4 linked regions of the Schizosaccharomyces pombe genome follow. Changing the gene in region 1 together with any one later gene gives a genetic interaction. Each region holds a gene or a part of one and is shown in the gene's direction. Other genes may lie near its edges. The genes, in order: gsf2, lkh1, adn2 and adn3.

Region 1 (7,947 bases):
AAAAATAATATAGAAATAGAATTAACAAGTGGGACACAAGTATCAAAGTAAAAAATAAAATATAAATAGAAATAAAGAATCAAATTACCATCTTGTATATCTTCTTCTCTTTAATTATGCTTAACGACGACCTCGCTAATCGTAGAAACCTCTTGTTTTGAAAAGGTGAATAACGAAGCGGAATGGAGTCACAATGTTCTCCTTCTTCATATGATGCCATAAATAAACAAGGAAGCGAAATTTAAAAGCCGCAATTGGACAATGTGTTTGACATCATCCTTCCACTCAACGAACAGATAACATCATGTCATGACGTATAAGCTTTAGTGTTTTTGTATTTGAGAAACAAACATTGGTCAAGGATTACCGAAAATTTAAAGGGTTGATTTACCGAAATCATGACGTATTCCATTCAATTTCAGCACGAGGAAGAGGTAAAGAACATCAAGTAACGGAGACCCTATGTAAATAAAGAAAGCATGGAAGAACAAATAAAGGTAAGGAACAATAAAATGTCTAAGAAAAAAAAGAAACAAATACGACTTCTCTTCGAAAAAAAACAACAACAACAACAATTAACGATTGCTCTTTTCTTTACATATATATATTTTTTTATCGTAATTTGATTGCCTTGTTTTCCATGGGAACCCGAGTGTATGAATATTGGTGAATTCGTATGTACACATAAAACTTTACTGTGTGAAAACAAATAATGAATTAAAAAAAAAGAAAAGAAAAGCATCTGATTCAGCCACCTCTTTTTTATCTAATTTCCCTTCTACAGTTTATGAAAATTGGATGCATAATCGAAATTGCCCTCTTGCCTTGTCGGACCGATGGTTATTTACTAATAGTATATAAGCCTACCCCTTTTGCTTAACGAAGCATTTTACGAGTCGTAAAGTTGAAATTAGCGAAAAGTTTCGCAGCACATAAATTGACAATTCCACAGAAAAAAAAAATGTTTGAAAGAGAGAGAGTGTGTGTGATTCAGGATTCTCTTTTTTTATTCTTTTTTATTTTTGGGGGTAAGGTATTCTACAATACACGAAGAAGACTTTTTTTAAAATGTCCATCTAAAAATAGAGAAACTTAGAAGACAATCGAAGAAAATAAGATCCCCTTTGATCACTGAATGCACTACACTACACTGCACTAATTCCGTTTATGAATGCCGTTTAGTACGGCAGGAGCGGGTTACTGCTAAAAATAAATAACGACGGCTACTAAGAATAGAAAGTAAAGTGGGTGTGCTATCCGATGTTGGTTATTTACAGAAATAGACGAGAAACACAAGAAGCTGCTTACAAACAAAAAGTATTTGTTGTGTGAATGGTGGATGAAAATAGAAAGGTTCTTGTTTTAACTTCTTCTCATATCTTTTAAACGAATAATTAATGAGTGTTTCTTTATTCGTGAGTCTATATTCTCGGGTTTCCTTCTCAAACTTTCATCCAAAATAGCTAGTTCTATAAAAATAACCATTTCAACATGTGCCTAGGCATTGCCGGCTTTACCATCCATGATGGCTAAGCCAAACTAGCTTTAATCACAACCAGAGCAAAAAGTACACACTGACCGAAAATAGTACATACTGACCTGACTGTTTAGTGAAGTAGAGCGTAGCATGTACACAGTAGCAAAAAGGATATAGTACGTTGGCTTTGACGTTTGGAAAAGAAGCAAAAGAATTCATTTCATTCTAAAAAGATTTCCATATATTTTATGTAATTTTTCTCGTAATTATCAAGGCTTTCGTTCATTTCTTGTCCTTGTTTTTCCGATCCAATTTGCTTAAAAAAAAAAAAAAAAAAAAAAAAACTCATTCCGATTCACTATATTACTTAAGAATGCAGTATATATAATTAGCGTAGAGTAATGAGAGTTGCAAAAATTACCACCATTCTACGGGACCAGATTGACAACACCTGGTGAGCGCCGCCATGCATTCTGCCTCCAAGGCAAGCTGGACTATAAGCCGGCAGAGGTTTGACATACTTGTAATTTTATGAATTGGACATATAGAAGTAAATGCAAGTATTTTTATCCGAGGAGAACGCTAGTTGGAGGGAGAAGATGAAACAATAGTGGTGATAACAAAAAAAACAAAAACAATTGCCAAAAATTGTAGGAAAAGAAATTGGAAAAGGACGCGTAAAAAGTCATTCAAATCAGTAGAAACTTTCCAATGCGCGAATGGACATCCATCCATAATATTGAAAGGTTATTTTTCGTTTACAATCGTCGCAATTCAAATAGACGCGAAAAAATAGCAACTGAACGCTGCCACCTTAAAATTGAACTAAAAAATTTCAATTATAAATGCTTTGATCACTAAGCAAACATTGAAAATCTAACGACTTAGACGTTGCATAACTAATGAATTGACATTGCATGAACTACTACTACATCCTTCTAAACACCGCCTTTCTCGCTACCACAACCCCATCTCTACTACACTTCCACTCACTTACTCATCATTCTTCATAGTCGCACTTTTTCATTTCTCTCCTGTCATCTCCACAAATTAAATCTTAATCTCTTGTTTCACTAGCTTCTTAATTGCAATTAAAATTGCGCTTGCTACATCCTCTACACTACTCCTGTAATCAGCCTTCTTTTCTTCTCTTTCTTTAGCATACTCGGTCTCGTTATTCCATATATCGAAATTTTCTTCTTCGCTCGACCTCGATATTCTTAGGAACCAGCACAGAATGCAAAAGTGGATCCTTACCTCCATGTTCCCGAGATAGAGATTATTCCCTAGCCGAAATTAGAATTTGCGAAGAGGTTTTATGTTATCGCGGGGTCTTCCACATAGGTGACAACGATTTTTTAAATTCGAATTCAAAATGTTTCTCTAAAAAAAGAAAAACTTGCAAAAACGGGGAACATTTGAGAAAAGGGTCATCGGGGTACAGAGAGAGGGGTATAGAAAAAGTCGCAAAGGAAAAATTCCGTAAATATTCATTGCTAAAATTTCACACAGATTGGTTTGGGTGTAGTTATTTATAAATATGGCCGCATCTACTTAAGAAAGTTATTTCGCTCCTACATTGAAGGCGAGTGGTCGAGTGTTCGTCAATCAGTCATCAATTGAACATCCAAAACATTCTTAACGAGATTAAGATCGTTGACTTTCTTCTATAAAAGCAAAGCATCGAGAAAGATTCGAACATTGCAAAAAAAAAGGATTACCTATTCCATATACACCATCTGTCTCTCTCTTTTTGTTGAGGTTGCTAGAGTTTGGTTATTGGAACTTTCTTTTTTTTGTTGTATCATCATTTGTTTCCTTCCTTCCATCTTTATTTTGGGAAAGCGACTTGATCTCTCTTCGCTGCACGAATCTGTGATAACAATATCTTCACTCATTCTTTTCGCCAGCATCCAATTTTGTTTTTTTTTTGAGAAACAAATCTGCTCTTGTACATATTCTACATTCTTTTGAATTACAAGTGGGTATTTTACATTCATTTGAATAATTTAAAATAAATCTGGCTAGCATTTATTTTTTAATATTCTCCCCTTTTTTCTTTACATCCCCCATTCTATCGTCTAGGATTTCGGGTTGAAATTGGGTTTTAAGTTGTCCTACATTTACACAAAATAAACACTGGGTAATTTCGTGTTTGGGTTGGTTTGGTAATACAGCTTGCGAATCTCCTTTCATCCAGTTATTTTTTATTTATATATATTATTTCTTTCATTAATCTTTTCGCAATTTTGCATTCATTTAAACCCTCTTTTCTTCATTCTCTGTTGAAACTACGAGCTTTATTCATTTGGGATTCACTATTTTTCTAATTGAATTTCTATCATATTATCAATAAACGCGCTCTGCACACCAATCGTCAAGCATTGGATTTAATTTTGTTTTTGATAATATTTAATTTTTTTATTCGTTTGGTTAAATTATCTTAATAATTTTGTTTTTTTCTAATTCACTTACCCGTTTTTGAATATATCAACAATGTCTGTTAGAAGGTTTTTATCCACATCTGCTCGGGCATTACTTTTCACGGCTGCTCTTCTTCCCTCCTTGACTTCTGGTCTACCTTCTGGAAATGTCAGGATTTTGCAAAAGGGAATGGAACCTGAAGATTACCTTTCCTCTGCATCACAAAATGAAGTGCCTCACGATATTTCACTTCCAAAGACCGAGCTTGCGGATCCAAATTTCCTAGTTGACGATATGCCAACCTTACTTGGCAGAGACGCTGCTGTTGATCCTAGCATGTTTACTAGCACCTTCACAGTAAAAAATGGAAATGATGCTAACTACATTACTGCTAGTCCCGTTAGCAACGACGCTTCCATGACTGCTATTAGCACTTTTACCTCAGGGAAAGAAGCTTCTTATGCAATTCAAGCAAGCCCATCTACCTTTCTTCCTGATTCGACTACCACTTCAGGTTCACAAGTTTCAAATGCTGTTGAAGCGAGCTCAACTTTTGTAGCTGATACGACTAGCACCTCATGCAACCCAGCAACGGTTTTAATTGTAACCACATCTGGTTCAACAAGTACTAGTTGTCCCCCTCCAACAACAATTCTTATTGTTACAGTCCCTACCACAACCACAACAACTACTGTTGGATATCCTGGATCCGTCACTACTACCTTGACTGGAACTCCTAGCAATGGTACTGTTATTGATACTGTTGAGGTTCCCACTACTACTAACTATGGTTACACCACTATTACCACTGGTTATACTGGATCCACTACTCTTACCACTACTGTTCCTCACAGTGGTAATGAGACTGGACCTACTACAGTTTATGTGGAGACTCCTTATCCCACAACTGTCACTACCACCACTACTGTTGGATATCCTGGATCCGTCACTACTACTTTGACTGGAGCTCCTAGCAATGGTACTGTTATTGATACTGTTGAGGTTCCCACTACTACTAACTATGGTTACACCACTGTTACCACTGGTTATACTGGATCCACTACTCTTACCACTACTGTTCCTCACAGTGGTAATGAGACTGGACCTACTACAGTTTATGTGGAGACTCCTTATCCCACAACTGTCACTACCACCACTACTGTTGGATATCCTGGATCCGTCACTACTACTTTGACTGGAGCTCCTAGCAATGGTACTGTTATTGATACTGTTGAGGTTCCCACTACTACTAACTATGGTTACACCACTGTTACCACTGGTTATACTGGATCCACTACTCTTACCACTACTGTTCCTCACAGTGGTAATGAGACTGGACCTACTACAGTTTATGTGGAGACTCCTTATCCCACAACTGTCACTACCACCACTACTGTTGGATATCCTGGATCCGTCACTACTACTTTGACTGGAGCTCCTAGCAATGGTACTGTTATTGATACTGTTGAGATTCCCACTACTACTAACTATGGTTACACCACTATTACCACTGGTTATACTGGATCCACTACTCTTACCACTACTGTTCCTCACAGTGGTAATGAGACTGGACCTACTACAGTTTATGTGGAGACTCCTTATCCCACAACTGTCACTACCACCACTACTGTTGGATATCCTGGATCCGTCACTACTACTTTGACTGGAGCTCCTAGCAATGGTACTGTTATTGATACTGTTGAGGTTCCCACTACTACTAACTATGGTTACACCACTATTACCACTGGTTATACTGGATCCACTACTCTTACCACTACTGTTCCTCACAGTGGTAATGAGACTGGACCTACTACAGTTTATGTGGAGACTCCTTATCCCACAACTGTCACTACCACCACTACTGTTGGATATCCTGGATCCGTCACTACTACTTTGACTGGAGCTCCTAGCAATGGTACTGTTATTGATACTGTTGAGGTTCCCACTACTACTAACTATGGTTACACCACTGTTACCACTGGTTATACTGGATCCACTACTCTTACCACTACTGTTCCTCACAGTGGTAATGAGACTGGACCTACTACAGTTTATGTGGAGACTCCTTATCCCACAACTGTCACTACCACCACTACTGTTGGATATTCTGGTTCGGTAACTACTACTTTGACTGGTAGCGGTAGCAATAGCATTGTTACTGAAACTGTTGATGTCCCTACCACTACTAGTGTTAATTATGGTTATACTACTATTACGACTGGCTGGACTGGATCAACCACGCTTACTTCTATTGTTACTCACAGTGGAAGTGAGACTGGTCCCACTACAGTTTATATCGAAACTCCCAGTGTTTCGGCTACTACTACCACTACTACCATTGGATATTCCGGATCTCTTACAACTACATTGACCGGTTCCTCTGGCCCTGTTGTTACCAACACAGTTGAGATTCCTTATGGAAACTCTTCGTATATCATTCCTACAACCATTGTTACTGGCACCGTTACTACTGTGACAACTGGTTATACTGGTACTGAGACTTCTACTGTTACAGTTATTCCTACTGGAACCACTGGAACCACTACAGTTGTTATTCAAACGCCTACCACAGTGACTGCAACTGAAACCGACATTGTTACTGTTACAACTGGTTACACTGGAACTGAGACATCTACTGTCACAGTTACTCCTACTGGAACCTCTACCGGAACCACTACAGTTGTTATTCAAACGCCTACCACAGTGACTGCAACTGAAACCGACATTGTTACTGTTACAACTGGTTACACTGGAACTGAGACATCTACTGTCACAGTTACTCCTACTGGAACCTCCACTGGAACCACTACAGTTGTTATTCAAACACCTACCACAGTGACTGCGACTGAAACCGACATTGTTACTGTTACAACTGGTTACACTGGAACCGAGACATCTACTGTCACAGTTACTCCTACTGGAACCTCCACTGGAACCACTACAGTTGTTATTCAAACACCTACCACAGTGACTGCGACTGAAACCGACATTGTTACTGTTACAACTGGTTACACTGGAACCGAGACATCTACTGTCACAGTTACTCCTACTGGAACCTCCACTGGAACCACTACAGTTGTTATTCAAACACCTACCACAGTGACTGCGACTGAAACCGACATTGTTACTGTTACAACTGGTTACACTGGAACCGAGACATCTACTGTCACAGTTACTCCTACTGGAACCTCCACTGGAACCACTACAGTTGTTATTCAAACACCTACCACAGTGACTGCGACTGAAACCGACATTGTTACTGTTACAACTGGTTACACTGGAACCGAGACATCTACTGTCACAGTTACTCCTACTGGAACCTCCACTGGAACCACTACAGTTGTTATTCAAACACCTACCACAGTGACTGCGACTGAAACCGACATTGTTACTGTTACAACTGGTTACACTGGAACCGAGACATCTACTGTCACAGTTACTCCTACTGGAACTGCTACTGGAACCACTACGGTTGTCATTAATACTCCTACAACTACTGGTTCTGAGGTCCTTCCCACTACTGGTGCTACTGGAACTGCTGGTACTGAGACTCAACTCACTACTGCTACCGAGGTTCAACCTACTACTGGTGCTACTGGCACTGCTGGTACTGAGACTCAAGTCACTACTGGTACTGAAACCCAAGCTACTACTGCTACTGAGACTCAAGCTACTACTGCCACTGAGGTTCAAACTACTACTGGTGCTACTGGAACTGCTGGTACCGAGACTCAAGCTACTACTGCTACTGAGGTTCAACCTACTACTGGTGCTACTGGAACTGCTGGTACTGAGACTCAAGTCACTACTGCTACCGAGGTTCAACCTACTACTGGTGCTACTGGCACTGCTGGTACTGAGACTCAAGTCACTACTGGTACTGAAACCCAAGCTACTACTGCTACTGAGACTCAAGCTACTACTGCCACTGAGGTTCAAACTACTACTGGTGCTACTGGAACTGCTGGTACCGAGACTCAAGCTACTACTGCTACTGAGGTTCAACCTACTACTGGTGCTACTGGAACTGCTGGTACTGAGACTCA
Region 2 (6,641 bases), on another chromosome or scaffold:
TATAGATGTTACTATGTATAGCAAGATTAATTAACATGTTATTGTTATTTGTTATTATGTTTTTAATACTATGTATTTATAGCATCTGTAATGTCTGCGTTTTTCAACTGCCAAAGAGCGCATTTTCTACAAGTTTCGGTTAATGTTGCAAATAACCGATTAGACTTTCATGTCATGACACTTGATTTCACTTGTGCTGACGCTTTTTTATGAACGGCATATCGCTGTTCAGCTGCTTTACCGACATGTAATGGCCAAATCTCGAGCTTGACACTTTGTAAAAAGTCTCAATAATAATTCCCCATCCACAACTGACATACATAATTGATAGTACTTACTAGCCTTTACCCTTGCCAGCCAGACAGCTTCCACTGTACTGAGGTCAGGGATCATGACATAGACTGATTGCAAATTACGAACAAGACCGTCAATCTGCACTTTAGCATCTCCTAAAATAATAATCGTTAAAGCCGACTAGCTATTAGGGATGACGGGAGGAGCAAAAAAATAGCCTGAAAAAAGAAAAAGAAAAGAAAGCGTATTTAAAGAAAGGTTAAAATTTTCTTTGTTCTTTCAATAAGTAAGCAGTTTACTCCTGGTCCAGAAGTGCGACGGACCTTGCGTGCCGGTAAGGAAGTTGCAAAAAAAAAAAAAAAGGAAAAAAAGAACCGAGATAAAGTTGACTTTCAACTTCCGTCTGCAGTAACCGGATTTCCCAAAAATTTCAACGGGTAATTCAATTATGCAAGGGGATTGTCATTCTTTTTTTTACATTTTTGAGTTTCACGACACATTAGTCCCTTAATTGCAGCTACAACCATGCCTTGTTGCCTATTTTTTTCCTTTGCTTAATTACAATTTCTCACCCCATTTGAAGTCATGTTGATTGAATTTTTCACATCCCGTTTTCAAGCTCTAACATCAGTCATTGTAGATGATTGATTGTAGAAAATTATATTTGTTTCCTTTTCGCGACCATTAAATGATTATTCAATAGTTGATGAATTATTGCCTTTGTTGTTTTGTTACTCATCATGGCAATTTTATCGTATTATTTGTTACATAGATTATTGTCATCCACTAAATTTTTTGATGGCCAAGCGTCGCTGTTTGGACGAAATATTCGATTACCGAGGACGGATGGCCATAATCAAGACTAGTTTGGTAAGAGAATTTGGCAGATGGGCTGGACGACATTTGTTGAAAGTGTGAGAAACGCTTCTGAAAAGGCATGTTTTCTATATTTCATTTCTATTCTGGTAAAGAATTGTGCGGAATACTATACCATGGACAAATGGGGCGGGCGACAAGGCAGCTACAGTATAAGCGGGCATATAGCATTCATTGTATAATACAGTATATAGTACATGGTAGGTAGAGTTGGATAGAGATGGTGAGAATGACAGTTGCATTATTTATGCGTAAAACTATATGTAAATTTTATAACTATTTATGTAAACATGCGTTTATATATGTGTATGAGTGTGCATGCTTGTGTACATTTGTGTGTGTGTGTATGTGTGGTGTGTATTGATGTTTGAATGGTATGATGACAATGATAAGCCATTTCTTACGAAAACTCCTTAAGTGAATATGGTTGAGTTGAATGGAGCGGCATTTGAATGGTAAATGATTAGTGATCTAAATTAATGAAAATTCATTCAGCGCCTCTGCCTCTACGGCCATGGCGGTTTTCGTAGATCTCAGCCCTTCAGAGTAGCAAGCGTCTCTTACGCTATAGTTGGGTGACGGCTAGGTACGTTGCATACTGCGCACATGGTGTTGTGGAATGTGTATACTTTTTCATAGGAAGGAGGTGCCAAACGCAACGCGCCTGGATGGTGATTGTTGGGTTGTTCCCTCGTCCGGCCAATTTTTTCCAGCTATTTTATTTTAAGGATAGAATAACAATGATGTTGTTCCGGTCTCACAAACATGATTATCTCATGCAAATTTCACCTTTTCTAAGTGGCTTTACCAAAGAAAACGCAACTTATTATTATCCAAACTCTTGCTAATTCCTTTTTACTTTCTCCACATCCCTCGAATTGGCTTGAGGCTTTTTCTTTTATCCTTTCTATCCTCAATTACTAGTTTTCTTAGCAGTTGTATTATTAGGACATTGCTTTGTTGTTTTACCCCCCCCCCATTGGAATTACATTCTGTGGGATTGAAGGAAAGAAAAAGAAAATTGCTTATTAAGAGTCGTATATACTTCATTCTTCAATTTACTACACTCACTACTTGCTTTTCTCCATCTACGATCTACCATTTTGTTAGGTAGACTTTCGTACTACAGCTACATCGCTTGTCGTCGACTTTGTGTGCTTTTGAAAACTGCCCTGGTAATTGCCGATTCTTTTGGGGGTTATTTATACTTTTGTTTTATCCAAATTACTAATCCGCCTGATTTGGACATTGATCAATTTTGGTAGTAGCGCAATCGCACCCCCTCAAACACAAAAACCTCATCATTGTCTCATGGTACAATATTGCCTTGGAACATCATTACTTTAAAGCAATACGATTGATACAAAGGTTTCCGCTAGTTGTTGATTGAAGGTTTGGTGTTTATCGTTTTTTCGTGTTTGATTTGCCTTTACAGACCCTCCGTGTTCGGCATACTTATTCTCCGGTATTGTAGATATTTATTTCTCTCCGATACCTTTTTGCATTTGCTGTTTCTCTTTACTGTTGCACCCTACATTTGATTGAGAAAGGGGTTTAGTGGTTGTCGTCAATTGTCTTTATTCTGAGAAAACGGCTTTCTTCTCCCTGATATAAGAAACCATTTGGTTTGATAAATATATTTCAAGTTCACTTTCTCACTGTTTTCCGCTTCTTTGCTGATTTATCGTTTGATCGACGGCCTTGCAATTTTACAACGTCGAGAATTTTAACTTCTTTCTTCGTGATTGCATTCAAATTTTGAAACTCTTTCGAAGTAGGTGTACCAGTTAACTTGATTGCTCATTCTTCCTCCCATTCTCTGCTTCTTGATGAACTAGCTGTTCTGGTCCAACACCAATTGTCGAATGCTTGTCAGTTCAGTTCTATTGCTTTAATTCGTCCATTTTTTATTTTTATTTTTTAAATTCCGCCTTTCTATTTTGTTCTTACCCTTCGACGAGTCGAAAAAAAAGGTTTTTTATTGCTTTTGTCGCTTGGTGACTTCGAACAAGGAAACTTTTCCCCTTATTATTGTTTGAGAAACACTTATTTTCGGTGGTTGGTATCTCTTTTCATCATTTTTGCTTCTGGTTTTGCATAATTCTAAAAGATACTTATCCCTTTTTTCAGGTTTCGACGTCTTCTACCTCTTCACTTTACCAATTTGCTCGCATGACTTAGACGGAATCTTTTTATTGTAAAATGCATTCCTTAAAACGTCGTAGAAATCATGCGCCTGATTGGCAGGACTTTTATAAAAATGGTGTTCCACAAGAAGTCATTGTTATAGAGGACTCAGCTTCTCCACGGCTTACCCCTAATTTACCGCCTCCTTTTTCTGTTCATCAATTACAATCCTTCGTACCTCCGCAACCTCCCTCATCATCATCACCCTCTACCACTGGCACTGTGGCAGTCCCTATCAATGGTGCGAATGCTGTTTATCCATCAACTAACTCGGTATCTCTTCCTCAATCCTATGATCCATGGTTGGATGCTAATGGCGTCGTTCCATTACCGCATGATGTCGCCAGCCATCCTTCATATATGGTTCAGTCTCCTACATCGTATCATGCGTGTTCAAATAATCAATCGCCATTTCCCCATTCACATCATCCTCCCCTTCATAATCCACTACCTGTTTCATGTCAACCTGTTTTACGGCCGCCTCCTGTCCCTCAAGTTCCTTCACACTGGTACCCGGTTTCGCTTCCCTCTCCTAATTTACCTCACCAACCAATTTCTAAACCTCCAGTGATCCCTAATTTACCAAAGCTCCAAGTCCATCCGAACAGGCTTCCACATCCCATCCATAATCATCCTTACTCGTCTCCAACCTCTTATCCTCCCCCACTATGTCCTGCAACGTATTGTCCTTCTAACCCTCCTCAGCTAGCTCCGGCTACTGCTATCGCTCCTTCCTCGCAATCGTCTCAACATAAAAGTGTAAATTATTCCGTCACCCCAAGTTCCATTAACAATCATACCGCTGTACCATTATCTCCAACGCTGGCCGTATGGCTTCCGATGACTCAACCAACTTTCCAACCTCCTTCTGCAAACGTTTATCAACCGGCTTCTAATGCCAATCAAGTTATCACTCCTGTATCTATTTCCGATTATCGACCTCCGAAGAAAAGGAAGCGAGCTGCATGGCCCCCATATAAAAAAGTCGACCGCGTAAATGTTCCTGTTGTGCATGATACTACCGCTTTTGATCCATCAACTTTTGATGATGATGACGGTCATTACAAGGTTGTACCTAACTCCAAATTTGCCAACCGTTATACAGTTGTTCGTTTGCTTGGGCACGGTACTTTTGGCAAAGTTATCCAGTGTTACGATCAAAGTACAGGTAGACATTGTGCTATCAAGGTGACTCGAGCAATTCCAAAGTACAGAGAAGCTAGTCTCATTGAATTAAGAGTTTTACAAACTATAGCTCATAGTGATCCGACAAATGAAAATAAGTGCATTCAGTTACGCGATTATTTCGATTACCGCAAGCACATCTGCATTGTGACTGATCTTTTTGGCTGGAGTGTCTTTGATTTTTTAAAGAATAACAACTACATTCCTTTCCCTTTGAAGCATATTCAGATGCTATCCCAACAACTTTTTAAAAGTGTTGCGTTTCTTCACTCTTTGGGACTAGTACATACCGATCTTAAACCCGAAAATGTTCTTCTGGTATCTAATGCCTCAAGAACTATTCGATTACCTTATCGGAATTATTCACAGAAAGTCCTTAATAGTTGTGAAATCCGGCTTATCGACTTTGGTAGTGCAACATTTGAAGATGAATACCATTCCAGTGTAGTGAGTACTCGTCATTATCGTGCTCCAGAGATTATTTTAGGGTTGGGTTGGTCTTATCCTTGCGATGTTTGGAGTATTGGATGTATTTTAGTTGAGTTATTCACGGGACAAGCCTTGTTTCAAACCCATGAAGATAGTGAGCATCTGTGCATGATGGAAAAAATCCTGGGTCCCTTTGATAGGAATATGATTTCGCGTTCCTCTCGTACATCGCAACGTTTTTTTAAATCTGACGGAAAAGTCCGTTATCCTTTGTCAAATACGCCTAAAAAAAGCATTAATTATCTTCAATCTCTGCAAACGCTAGAGCAAATATTTGCAGTATCATCTCCAGAAGTGGCTTTGCTGCTTGATTTATTGAAAAAAGTATTCGTTTACGATCCTAAGCGGCGAATAACTGCAAAAGAGGCCCTTTGGCATCCCTTTTTCACCCAACCAATTTCTTCAAATTTGTGATGGATAAACTTAGAGATTTATAATTTACTTCATGTTTTTCAATAATTTTCACTCTTTCTAATTTACAAATCTACGGAAGTCTCGTATTTCTGGTTTGTGTTACGCTTTAGCTGATGTTTATTCGTTTGTTATTATTCAGTTTCTTAGACGAAAACTCGCATGTTCTACAATTACTTTAATTGCATAGAGTACTTGGTTATCCGATATAAATTAAAACTCAAAATTGTCCTCTTTTTAGATTATTCCATAAAGGTTTGATTAAGTCGTCAATTACACTCGTAAATTTTGGTCCTTGGGTTAAATAGTAGTTACTCAGTGAAATAAAAGAAAAAAAGATCATTAATGGTTTTCAGGACTATTTTAATAGATACGGATTACCTTGACAATTTTTTTGAAGTCTGAAGTATTTTGTTATGAACATAATTGTATAATGAAGAAAAGGTTTGCCCATTTCATTAAACAACAGAGATCACTTGCCTGAGACCCAATTTATATAATATGAGACAATAGCTCAAGTAGTTAGAACTTTAAAGGATCCGACTCCTCTTTTAAATTTTCCTCATTAAATAGATAAGCCAGAGGCTTTCCAAAATAACGAAACAATGAGATATCCGATATTTTAAGAGTCATTCCATCAAACGCCAAAGCTATATGTAAGTCTTCTGTCGAAATATCAATGTCTGGTAATTTGGGATATCGTTGGCTAAAATGAGTCAAAATAACGTTTTTTGTACCAGCTTTTTTGGCCACTTCTAAAGCTTCAGAGTAAGTACTGTGTTGCTTTTTTATTGCAATTTCGTGCATAGAGTCTTCCAAAGTAGCTTCGTGAATTAATAAAGTTGAGTCTTTGGCAATGTTAGCAAAATCCTCAGAAGGTCGAGTATCTCCAGAGTATGCGATCTTCCAACCACTGGAATTAGTAATCTCCATGCAATATGAATACGGGCAGTGTATGGCAGGAACCGTTCGAAAAGATACTAAATCAAATTCTTTAAATAAAGAAGACAACCTAGAGGATTCCAAAGCAGACGGCTTCCTGTCAGTACGTAAAGCACTATTGGAAATAAATACGATGTTGGATAATGGTAGATAATCAATCCTTGAGTATTCTAGTAGCCAAAATTCAAATTGTGGAGGTGCTGTTATAAACAACTTTGATCTGCCATCTGAGTACTTCGTCCAAGCCTTTAAAACCC
Region 3 (4,818 bases), on another chromosome or scaffold:
AGCTAGAATCTTGGATTCTAATTCTTTTAACCTATTTATATTAGTGCATGTTTTTTTAGCAATCGAACATACTAAATGTCCATTAGTCGCACTCTCCGATTCCTTTCGTTTATCCATTTCCAGTTTACTATATATAATAACTGCAATTTCTGATTGACAGTTTTCAGAATTAGAACGTAAAATGAATAGCAGGGACGGGAGTGGAAAATATATAAAACGGATCGACAATCGTCGCAGGGGTTTCTGTCACAACCAAAATACCAATAAATCGGACTTTTCTTTGGTGTTCAAATAACGAGGAATGATGAGCTCATTCCTATAAACAGGACTTAAAGTAGAATTTATATGAACAACATTTTGATTACAGGCAAAATCCCTAAAAATTTACCCTTCTCATGGAAGCCATTTAAAATTCGTTTAAACAGTATAAATAAATTGTAAGAAATATCTATTCCGTATACTATATACAGACCTTGTTTGTGCTTGAGGAAAAACACTAGTATCAATTAATGTCTTATAATATTTAACGAGCGGCTTTAATATCTAGTCTATCTCGATTTTACCACCATCAAAAACACTTGAGAAGCATTTTGCCATTAGCTAAAGATGCGTAATCACATTTTTTTTGGGTATAGTTATTAACAAATTTTTCTACTTAAAAATTGTATGTACGGTTTTCTGGGCTGAATTGTCTATTCTAGTCGCCTCAAAAATTGAAATATAAACAACGAGATAATCACTGATTAGGTATAACCGCATACAAAATTTCATAAACTTTCTCCCGTCGAATATATTTGTACTTTAAGAAATTAATTTTTGATTAATATCAAAATCCATAATTCTACAGGGAATCTAGCATGGCAATAATAAAGGATTATCCAGTAGATAGTAGTTCTAAAGCCGGATTATAGCATTTGCAATGAAAGAGAGAAACTAAATTTTCTACTTGATAAAAAATGAATTATAGAAAACTAAAATGTGGAATATGTGAAACTAAACAAATTTACGCAAAGCTTCCAATCTTCATGTAAGTACTTTCTAAAAACTTGTAGTGCCAAAATTAAGCATCTTGCTTGATTTACTGAAAAACACAATTTGCAACTAGTTTTCGAATAGTGAACACATTCCAAAATCTTTACTACTAAAAGCATTTCTAACAACTTTAGAAAATGATAATATGAGTTCCAGTGCTTAGTATTTACATCGCTAACTTATGTAAAAAGCTGTAGATATGTATATTTTCCAAGGCAAGGTAAATAAAACAAGAATAATTGATACTATCTACATAATTACAGCATTCTTACAAAAAACTGCGGCTAATAGTATTCTTAATTCATTATGATGTTTTTACGGATGAAGAAATATCAATTTACATTTACTTTCTAAACCCACCTATCCCTTAATTCCACAGTTTTCAGTTAGTAAGTTTGCATATATAAAATCTGAAATTACCACTGGTTGATTCATTGAAAGTATATCATCTTAGAACCATATTTTAATATAGCCCATTTTAGATAATTCAAATCCGAATATATACATAATAACTATTATTAAAAATGTTTTTAGAGCATGACTTGCCTTGGAAAATAAGAAACCTCTATAGAGTTTTACTCTTCAAGGGTTTTGATTTACTCTGTAACTAAATTCAAACATAACATTTATGATTTTATGATTTTCAGTAATTGATAGAAAACTAAAATGAAAATATGATATACAAAATGTTGCGGTAGTATAGCGTGCGCAGATCTTTAAAATTATATATCGCCAGCGTGCATCGTTGTAGATCCATATTCTCGTTCGCAACACCTAACTTCTGCACATTTCTAGTTTATGGCTGATCCAGGTTTAAGGTCCGGCGTCGGATTGCCAAGCCAGCAAGGACAGAAACATGATTTACAAAAAGATCAAAAACAACCGCACGTAAATAATGCCGATAGGACCACACAATCCTTACTGAATTCGTACATATATGATTATTTAATCAAGAAGGATTATTGTGAGGCAGCCCGAGCTTTTGGCCGTGAAGCACAAGTACAAACGCTCGTCAGAAGTCAAGAAGAAACCAATTCCTTAGCTAAGCGTCACAAAAGAATGTCTCCTGTTGCTGTAAAGCATGAAGGTATAAGTAATAATGAATCTTCGGATGAAAACATGAATGTAAATAACGGTAATTTAGATTCCTTTTCTTCTTCTTCTGCTCCGCCGCCACCTCCTATTTTGCCTATCGATTCAGCTGGTGGTTTTTTAATCGAGTGGTGGAATGTTTTTTGGGATATTTACAATGCTCGTCGGGGTCAAGGATCTGAGCCGGCAAAGGCGTATATGTCTCATATTAGCAATCTTAGGAAGAAATCTCGTTTAAATTTGCAAGAAATTCAAAAAAACTCTCTACACACTGGAAATACTTCTCACCCTTATGCAAACGCCTCATTTCCCCATGATCCTGCCAACGCAATGGGTCAGCAGATTGACTCATCTCAGTTTCATCAAGGGGCAGGTGGATTGAACGATAGAAATCAGCACTTAATGCGGCAAGCTATGCTAAATAATCAAAGCCGTGAAACGTTTCCCCCGACCGCTGCTCAACTTCAACAATTAAAACAATTACACTACAGGCAGCTACAATCTGTGCAACAACAACAAAAGCAGCACCAGCAAAAGAAAACTCCACAAAGTGGTTCTACCCCACAAATGCAAAACACGACTTCTCAACCTACAACTCACGATACACATCCACCTAAGCAGCAAGGTCCAATTTCCGATTTTCGATCCATCCCTTCTTCACCCAAAACAGAAGGTGCTCCATCTAATGCTCAATTTCGCCCTAGTTTACCGGCAACTCCTAATGGTTCCGTTCCCCAGTCGAATCCGTTGTACGATACCACTGGTCTTAACGGAGGACAATACCCTGTTGTTCAAAACTCTGCTCAACCATTGCTTCACGAGATAAATTTTGCTTCAAACAGAAATCCACATCTCAAACAAGGAGGAGCAGTACCTTCTTCTACCCTTCCTCAACAACAGAAATCTTTAGACAAACCTAAACCTGCTCAACAGCCTTCAACTGGGCAATTTTCTGGAAATCAAATGAACCAATACGGATTCTCTAATTCTCCTTACTCTCAAAATATGCTATATAATTTTAACGGAAACGCAAACCCCAGTCGTCTAAACCCAGCTCTCAAGAATTATATGGAGGAGTTAAAGCTACTAGAACAACAGAATAAAAAGAGGCTTCTGTTAGTTAGTCAGGAAAAAGAAAGAAAAGGGTACACATCGGCATCGCCTGATAGACCGCTTTCTCAGACTATTACTGAATCTAGTGTTGCAAAAACCAAAAGCACTACTCCTAAATCTACTGACACTCCTACAGAAGCCACCACATCTCCTGTAAAGGTCTCAACAAAAAATAGTAATACTACTGAAAATCTTAATGGCATCAATGAGTCAAATATGCCTATGTTACAAAATGGTCTTCCTTTACGTACATCAGGTGATCATCCATCAAACTATTCTAATCTGATTGAAAACTCATCTACCTCTGACACAAATAATGCGGACAATGGAATGGACGTTATGGGGAATTGGCAATTACAACAAACTCATTCATCGCGACCCACTCCAAATGCCAGTTCTCCATTGGACGTTCGATCAAAACAAAAGCCTTCTTCTGCTAATTCAAATGCTCCAACTCCAGCACCGACCGTCAACACTACCAACCCCGAATCATCAACAAATGAAGCAACAAGTGTAGGTCCTGCTTTGGAACCATCGCAAGGAGCAAATGTTCACAAATCCGATTCTGAGTTGGATAATCAAAATCAGTCAGGAAAATCAAATCCTGATACTTCCGCGACTCCTTCTGCACCTACGGAGTCTACCACAGTTGCCACTAAATCTTCAGACAATCAATTATTGGATGTTGGAAATTCAACAGACATCGATGCGGCTCTTCTAAATGATTTTGACTTCGACAAATTTTTAAAAGATACTAGTACTGGTGACGATTTATGGTTTGGATTGTTTAATTTGCCGGATAATGAAGACTCGACTGCTGCTTAATTTTGTCGAAACTTAAGTATTTTATCCTTGTTTTTCTTCTTTTTTAATTTGTTTATTTGGAAATTATATACCAGATTTTTTCATCTTTTTTGAATGCGTTGCGTTTTGTCATTATAAAAATTTAATATATAATTAATTGCTAGTTGGATATGGATTAGTGTACTCGGTTATAAATACCGGCCTACATCTTGTACTTTATATCTAATAATCAAAATTATTTCATGTGCTTTGAATCATTCTTATATTTTTTATAACTAAACACATTTAGGTAGTACATTAGATTGGCGATTAATCAGCCCCTGCGAAAAGGCCCCTCGTACAAATTCGCTTCTTTATACTAACTAATTAAACAACAAATCATGAGGTTCGATCGCTTAATTAGTAATAAAGTGTCGACGATTTTTTTATTTTTTGCAATATACATCCAAATACTGCATAACTAAGTGTGCTAATTCTGATAAAAATCATTAACATCGCCTGTAAATTAATTCGTAAATTAGAAAATTAATTCTCTGCGAAAAACCATTAATCAAACCATTAAAATCGAGAAATAATTCAATGATTTCCTTTTCGGTTGAAATTAACAGCTATACCTTTCCGTCGTGCGTTTATCATTCGGAAATTCTAATTTCCCCATGTAATATTTTTTAAGCTTCCCCATAAACCAAAATTCTTATGTTGTTGTCGTACAGAATTGGTATGATCAAAAATTATGATTTTTCCGTAATTTGCAACATCAACGAAAAGATATTCCCA
Region 4 (6,245 bases), 1.4 Mb from region 1:
TTACGGCAAGATGAATGTGATTAAAAAGAAGAGCGGGTACAAAAATATTATAATCTTTCCGAGTTGATGGTTCTTTTTTTTGACGTTGCAATTGTTTTAAAATACCATCGAAGTCACAAATGGCTACCAAAAGTTATAGAAAATTAGTCAGTAAACGGAGAAATAATGACGGGGAGAACAAATGCATTAAAAATCTATGCTGTTCAAACTCTTCTCAAAAATAGAGGCACAATCCATTTCGTATCCTTGAACGTCGCTCAATTTTGAAATAACAACCATACGGCAATTCTCCATCAGACTTTTTAACCGTATAGTATCTGTAGTAGAAAGATTTCCCGATTGTATGAGCCTTAAGCAAAGAGAATCCAGTAGGGAAAATACCTTAAAAGTTGTCTCTGGGGAGGCCGGAAATCCAACAATAGTGTCGACAAAAAAGTCGATACCTCGTAGAGTGAAATTGGTTACGAGAAAAGTATGCTTTTCCAAAGGAATAGAAGATACCACCTGAAAGTATGGTTCCAAATCAAATGCTAATTCCTCTAATTTTTGATAGCCACCGGGATGGAATCTAACGATACCAATGTTAGCAAATAAAAAGAGTGAAGAAGACTAGGCAAAACGAATTGAAAAACGTACTTCTTTTGGTATTTTTGAGACACGTCTAATAAAATCTCATCCAGAAAGTCGCGCAACTTGTTTAATTGGTGCTCAGTTAATTCAAGTGCCATAGCTGAATATAGAAACAGAAATTCCCTTTCCAGGAAAAAAAAGGGTCAAGCGATATTGATAACGAACTAAAGATCGGAAATTAAGTTGCTAATTAATAATGCAACAACTAAATATACATGAATAACTATCTAAAAAGTCAAGGAAGCGTATAAGCTTATACAAAACAAAATTTAGTTTCTGAAGAAGAGTGACTAGGGAGAATAAAACTCAATATCGACAAGAAAAGCATTAAAACCTTATTTATCTAAAAAATCAGTGAAAACAGAATTCTGTTCGCTTTTCTATATGACGGTGATGTTTGGAGAGGAAAGAGAGTCAATGACGACGATTTAGGGGTATACCCATTTATCAACATTAACCTTCTACAAAAAAAGTTCTTGAGATAGGGCAATTTTTTGGAAGCCGAAAACACATTTTTTATAAGAAAATTGTCTGACCACCACCATAAGCTGAATTTTCTCATTATTATCATTTTCAATGTACCCTCTATAAAAGAATATTTATTGAAATGTCATCGGGTATTATGATTTAGCATGCTTGCCTTTATTCTGTTTACGATTATATTTAGGCCAAATATGTCAGGCGAGTAAATGAAGTAAAACATAGCAATGTTATTTATTTAGAAGGGTAATTTATCAGACGGATCTAATAAATGGAAGCAGTAATCGAGATTCCAAGTTGGTAATGAAGAAATTTCTTGATTACTATCTATAGGCAACTAGCTCCTCTTGCTTAGCAAGTTTTTAAATAGCTAGAAGTCATGAATAAGTATCCAACGATCCTTAACTAATGCGAGAAAATAGTTGATCATAATCGAACGATGCGAGCTAGATTCTAACAAAGGTATAAAGGGATATGATAGTAAAAGCGGAACGTGAAGCTTGGTCGATTAAATTCAAATGAGCTACTTAAGATTATCTGTAGCAAGCTGTTTACTTTCGGAAGGTGACTTAGTCTTTTGCCTTTCGTTTTGCAATATACAGAATATTAAATTATTTAATCTTCATAGCTGATATCTAACGTATATCGACTAGTTCAGTAGCTGTGATAACGAAGTTTAAACATATCTCAGTATTCGGATTTGGTTTGGAGGCACACACTCAAAACCGACTATTTACGGCTTTATTACTACTTTTTTGCCTAAGCCTTTAATATATCGATATTTGAGAAGATTCAAGGAACGAGAAAGAAAATTTTGTTTTTAAAAAGCATCGAGCCTCTCTGACTGCTACACTGTGCATTCAATTTGAACTACATTAAAGACAACAGCAGCGCTATCGTTTGAGCATAAGAGCACTCGAATTTTAACGACAATACTGAATTCTTAATCCTTCCATGACCTATCTTTTCATCTGTTAAAGCATATATATCTTGCTTGTGCAAAGAAAGGAGCCAGGTCCAAAAGTCCATTTGAATAGCGCGCATTCTAATCAACCATAATTTTAAGCATCCATTCCCAAAATACACCTTTTCCTCAAAAAATATCTGGTCTTATTTCCTATAATTATTTTTATATCAATCCTTACCTGCGGTTTTTCATTGCACTTTTCCTCTTTGGTTTTTCTTTTTTTTTGGTGTTATACGCTGTTAATTCATCTTTGTTTTCTTAAATCTCTTAGCTTTTTGTTTTAAATCTTTGCACTTTCCTTTACATCTTTATAGTGTTCCACATTCGTTTCGTTCTCCATATTCCCAGTTTGCTTTTTCGATTTCATATCGCCATTTTAGATAAAATTGATGACATTTATTTAGCGTCAAGAAAAATACAATGGCTGATTTCATGGACATAGAGCCATCCTCTCATTCTGCAAAAGCTTCTCAATACGAATCCTCGGCTCCTGCGTCTTCTTCACTGGGTAATTCGCATCCAAACGAGTCTCTGGATTATTATATATACGACTATTTTGTTAAGCACAACTTTGAGGAAGCCGCACAGGCTTTTTTACGAGAGTCAAAAATTCAAATTCCAAAATCTTCTTCATCTACTGCCTTTTCACCTTCCAACAATAACGCACCTTCACCTTTCCCCCCAAAGAATTCATCTTTAGCCTCTCCTAGCAAAATTTCTGAATCGATTTCTGGTGATCGACTTTACAACCACATGTCATCAGCTCCGTCTCCCAACAAAAAGGAAGAAACCAATGTCGTACATGCTAACGAGGACATTTCATTAGATAAACGCCAGTCATTTGGATCATCATCCCTTCCCCCTTCTGAAGTTTCTATAAATGTTCCCGAAGGTTTCTTGGTGGAGTGGTTTAATATTTTTTGGGATGTATTTAGTGCGCGAGTAAGTCGTGTAAATAGCACGCCTATTCAATTATATGATCCTTCTACTCAAAGACAAATGGCCCGTCCCATGTCTAACCTCCAAGCATCTCAACCTGTTCCTTCCTCCACTTTTTCTCGTTCCGCTGTTGTCCCCAATCCTTCTCTTCCTTTAAATCCTTCTGTTTTACAGGGACAAGTGATGAATAACCCAACCATACCAAAGGGCACTCCTTCTACATCCATTGAAGGTGCAAAGACTTCTATCCCACCTTCTCATGCTATGCAAAATCCGCATAACTCTTTCCCTGCATCAGCAGATAGACTTCAAAAGAACCACCCTGTTCAATCTTCCAACTTTAACCCGTACACACCTGCACCTTCGATTACTGTCCCACCTAATTATATACCGAACACTGCAATGATGGGCCCTTCTTATTCTTCTTTTGGTGATACTGATCCTCGTACTTATCCTGCAGGAATGGGACCAAACCCTACTGCTGCTAGAAACGGCTTTTATCCTCCAACTCCGGCCCAGATACATCAATTAAAGGCTCAACAACAGCATCTCCAACGACAAAGCAAACAAATGTCGGAGCCTGCTCCTATTAACATGAAATCGAACAAAGATCAACAATTGCAGTACGTGGATTTTCGAGGTGTTGGTAGTGGCGCCGATCTTCAAAAACAGCAATGGAACAAATCTACTTCTGCTGAAGGTCTCCAGCCAAATGGATTGGTTATGAGGAATTTCGGGGACGTTCGCCATCAAAAGCTTCCTACCTCTTCACCTCCTTCGCAACATCCACCTGTAGGGCAGATTCCATCACAGTACCTTCCTTATCAGGCTGGGCTCAAAGTGCCAGGTAATACACCTATACCCGTTAAACAAGTAGGTGGTATGCCTTTACAATCACCATTACCTGTAAGTATGAAGCCTTCCGCAGATGACCATTCACGCGCTACTCCAACACGTTCTGTTGAAGCTCCCACTTTGCCGTCATACGCTCCTCGGCATCCTACTCAAGCAAATGGATCGAGGTATATGAACCCTTCTACTTCTCGGATGACACCTCAATCACCTTATATGCAGAATTACTACCGTCCTCATGCTCAAATGCAGGATCAAAACAACATGATGTCCTACATGTTAAGCCAGCAGAAAGCTATGGAGATTGCCAAATCTAGAGAAATGGCTATACAGCGTAATACTCAAACACTTAGCTCTGGTAATCAGCCACCTCAACAATCAGGACCTAATCCGAATGAATTTTCAATGTCAATGGATCCAGCTAATATGCAGCAAGGTAATCATGCTCTTAGCGACTATCATATGCAACTTATGCTTTTGGAGGAACAAAACAAGAAGCGTTTGATGATGGCACGACAAGAACAAGGAACTGGTTCACTATCTCCACAGTCCTATATGAATAGTCGCTATAGTGTGGATGTAGGTAAGGAGCATATGTCAATGATACCTAATCAAACTGCTCCTATGATTCAGCCAAACGTACCGGTTAGCGCAAATTCCCCAGCACAGGCCAATACTCCAGCTGCTGATTCAACTAAATCCGGGACTATCCAACCGACAAATCGAAATGGCGAGGGCTTATCATATTCGCCACATCAACAGTTCTCACCTTCTGCTCCACAAGCAGAAAAGTTAAGTCGCTCAATGTCACCTTTTGTTTCTCAGCAACAACAGCTCAATCAGCCTGTATCTAATAAACCAGATGGACTAACTCAAAATAAAGAAGTGACCGGAATGCCATTGAATAAGGAAGAATTGACAAATCCTGCATTTCCACAAAGTAGAACATCTTGGATGATGCCGCAGTCATTTGATACTAGCTCATTGAATGCACCTGGTGCGAAGGATTCTTCTTCGTTTTCTTCCTTACATGCGCAACCAGGAAAAAGTGGAATAGCTACAATGGGTGTCGCCGACAATACTATACGCACAACCGAACGATCGACTTTCTCTGAGATAATGAAAGATTCTCCCTCTGCACATGCTTCTCCAGGGGCAAAAACAAGCCCTAATGCATCTAGAGCTCCAGAACCGACAGGAGGAACTAATTCCATTTCACAAGATACTACTCAGTCTCTACAAATGCAATCTAACAGCGTTAATTCATCGTCTATGGTGGATGCCTCTAAAAGCAAAGAGAAAAGTGGCGGCGATACATCCGCTTTGGATTCAAATGCGAAGAATGAACCTACGGCGGCAAAGCCAATTTCTAAACTCGAAGATGATGCTTTGTTTAACGATAGTGCTGGAAATGCATTCGGCTTTTCTTCTAAAACCGACAGTAATGTTGAAATGTTAAATGATTTTGACTTTGAAAGTTTCCTAAATGATGCTGGTGCAGATTCGGCATCTGTTTATTATTAGGTGCCGATTTCCTTTCCTACTTTTCTTCAACGCTACCTGTGGAGACGTTGTTTGTGTAAATTAGCTTGGATGGATGAATATTTCTTCTTTATTTGTGTCTGTTTAAATTTGCATGGATTGCTACAATTACCGGTTTTTTTTTTATAATTCTCATCATTAATCGTGCCATCCAGCCCGATAGGTGTATTTTACATGAAGCTTTTCCTGCCAATCTACTACACCCATCGAATTTTTACCATATTGTTGATTTTCGTTATTTATAAGATAATGTGTAAATAAATAAGAACTGCTTTCAAGCGTATATAATAAATATGATTCATCATTATACTAGCAGGAATTTTTATCTACGTGTTCTGAAGAAATAGTTATTACTTAATTAAGTAGCACCATTGCATAAGCTAAAACATTTTGGAACTAACGATTTCTGTAAACAATGTTTGAATACCAAAGGAGTTAGCATAACAATACTGCTTGCATGATATGATTTCACGGTCAGTAAAAGCAATCCAACATTAATCAATTACACAACCTTTTTTTCTGGATAATGATTTGCAGGGTGAAGATGAAATAAGCAGGACTATGAAACAAAAGAAAATCGCGAGGGGTTTTAATATTGATCATTGGCAGTATCGCAATTTACAGCAGGGAGAGACAGCTGGAATTTAAGGAAATATGCTGATTGCCTAAGTTTAATTAATTAAACTACAACATGCGAAATTGAAAAATTAAGCATCAATCCGAACAAACTTTCAGATCTTACAGAAATATGCGTTTTTTAACACATTGTTTATAAACATATTTTAATGAGGCCTTAAAAAATAGCATTCAATTTTATTAACTATGATAAGTAATC

Evidence for each region.
Region 2: of gsf2 (region 1) and lkh1, changing one suppresses a phenotype caused by changing the other (phenotypic suppression), as found in Schizosaccharomyces pombe (one study listed by BioGRID).
Region 3: of gsf2 (region 1) and adn2, changing one suppresses a phenotype caused by changing the other (phenotypic suppression), as found in Schizosaccharomyces pombe (one study listed by BioGRID).
Region 4: of gsf2 (region 1) and adn3, changing one suppresses a phenotype caused by changing the other (phenotypic suppression), as found in Schizosaccharomyces pombe (one study listed by BioGRID).

The regions. Positions count from the first base shown.
Region 1 is NC_003421.2:959,999-967,945, reverse strand, and holds the start of gsf2 (protein Gsf2), read left to right. Parts: upstream 1-1,933; 5' UTR 1,934-3,973; coding exon 3,974-7,947. UniProt on the Schizosaccharomyces pombe protein: Galactose-specific adhesion protein essential for non-sexual flocculation and filamentous growth. Required for adhesion and filamentous growth through recognition of galactose residues on cell surface glycoconjugates. Induces flocculation when overexpressed.
Region 2 is NC_003424.3:655,564-662,204, reverse strand, and holds lkh1 (dual-specificity), read left to right. Parts: upstream 1-2,027; 5' UTR 2,028-3,372; coding exon 3,373-5,445; 3' UTR 5,446-5,964; downstream 5,965-6,641. Other genes in the region: 3' tRNA-processing endonuclease tRNAse Z L2 Trz1, read right to left, coding at 5,965-6,641. UniProt on the Schizosaccharomyces pombe protein: Protein kinase that may act as a negative regulator of filamentous growth and flocculation. Appears to have a role in normal cell wall and septum formation and in cell separation.
Region 3 is NC_003423.3:4,399,860-4,404,677, reverse strand, and holds adn2 (transcription factor), read left to right. Parts: upstream 1-1,808; 5' UTR 1,809-1,830; coding exon 1,831-4,062; 3' UTR 4,063-4,295; downstream 4,296-4,818. Other genes in the region: U5 snRNP complex subunit Spf38, read right to left, coding at 1-31, 73-117; TIM23 translocase complex subunit Tim21, read right to left, coding at 4,687-4,818. UniProt on the Schizosaccharomyces pombe protein: Probable transcriptional regulator involved in cell adhesion.
Region 4 is NC_003421.2:2,342,870-2,349,114, forward strand, and holds adn3 (transcription factor Adn3), read left to right. Parts: upstream 1-1,845; 5' UTR 1,846-2,497; coding exon 2,498-5,392; 3' UTR 5,393-5,729; downstream 5,730-6,245. Other genes in the region: transcription factor TFIIH complex subunit Tfb6, read right to left, coding at 187-568, 637-728. UniProt on the Schizosaccharomyces pombe protein: Probable transcriptional regulator involved in cell adhesion.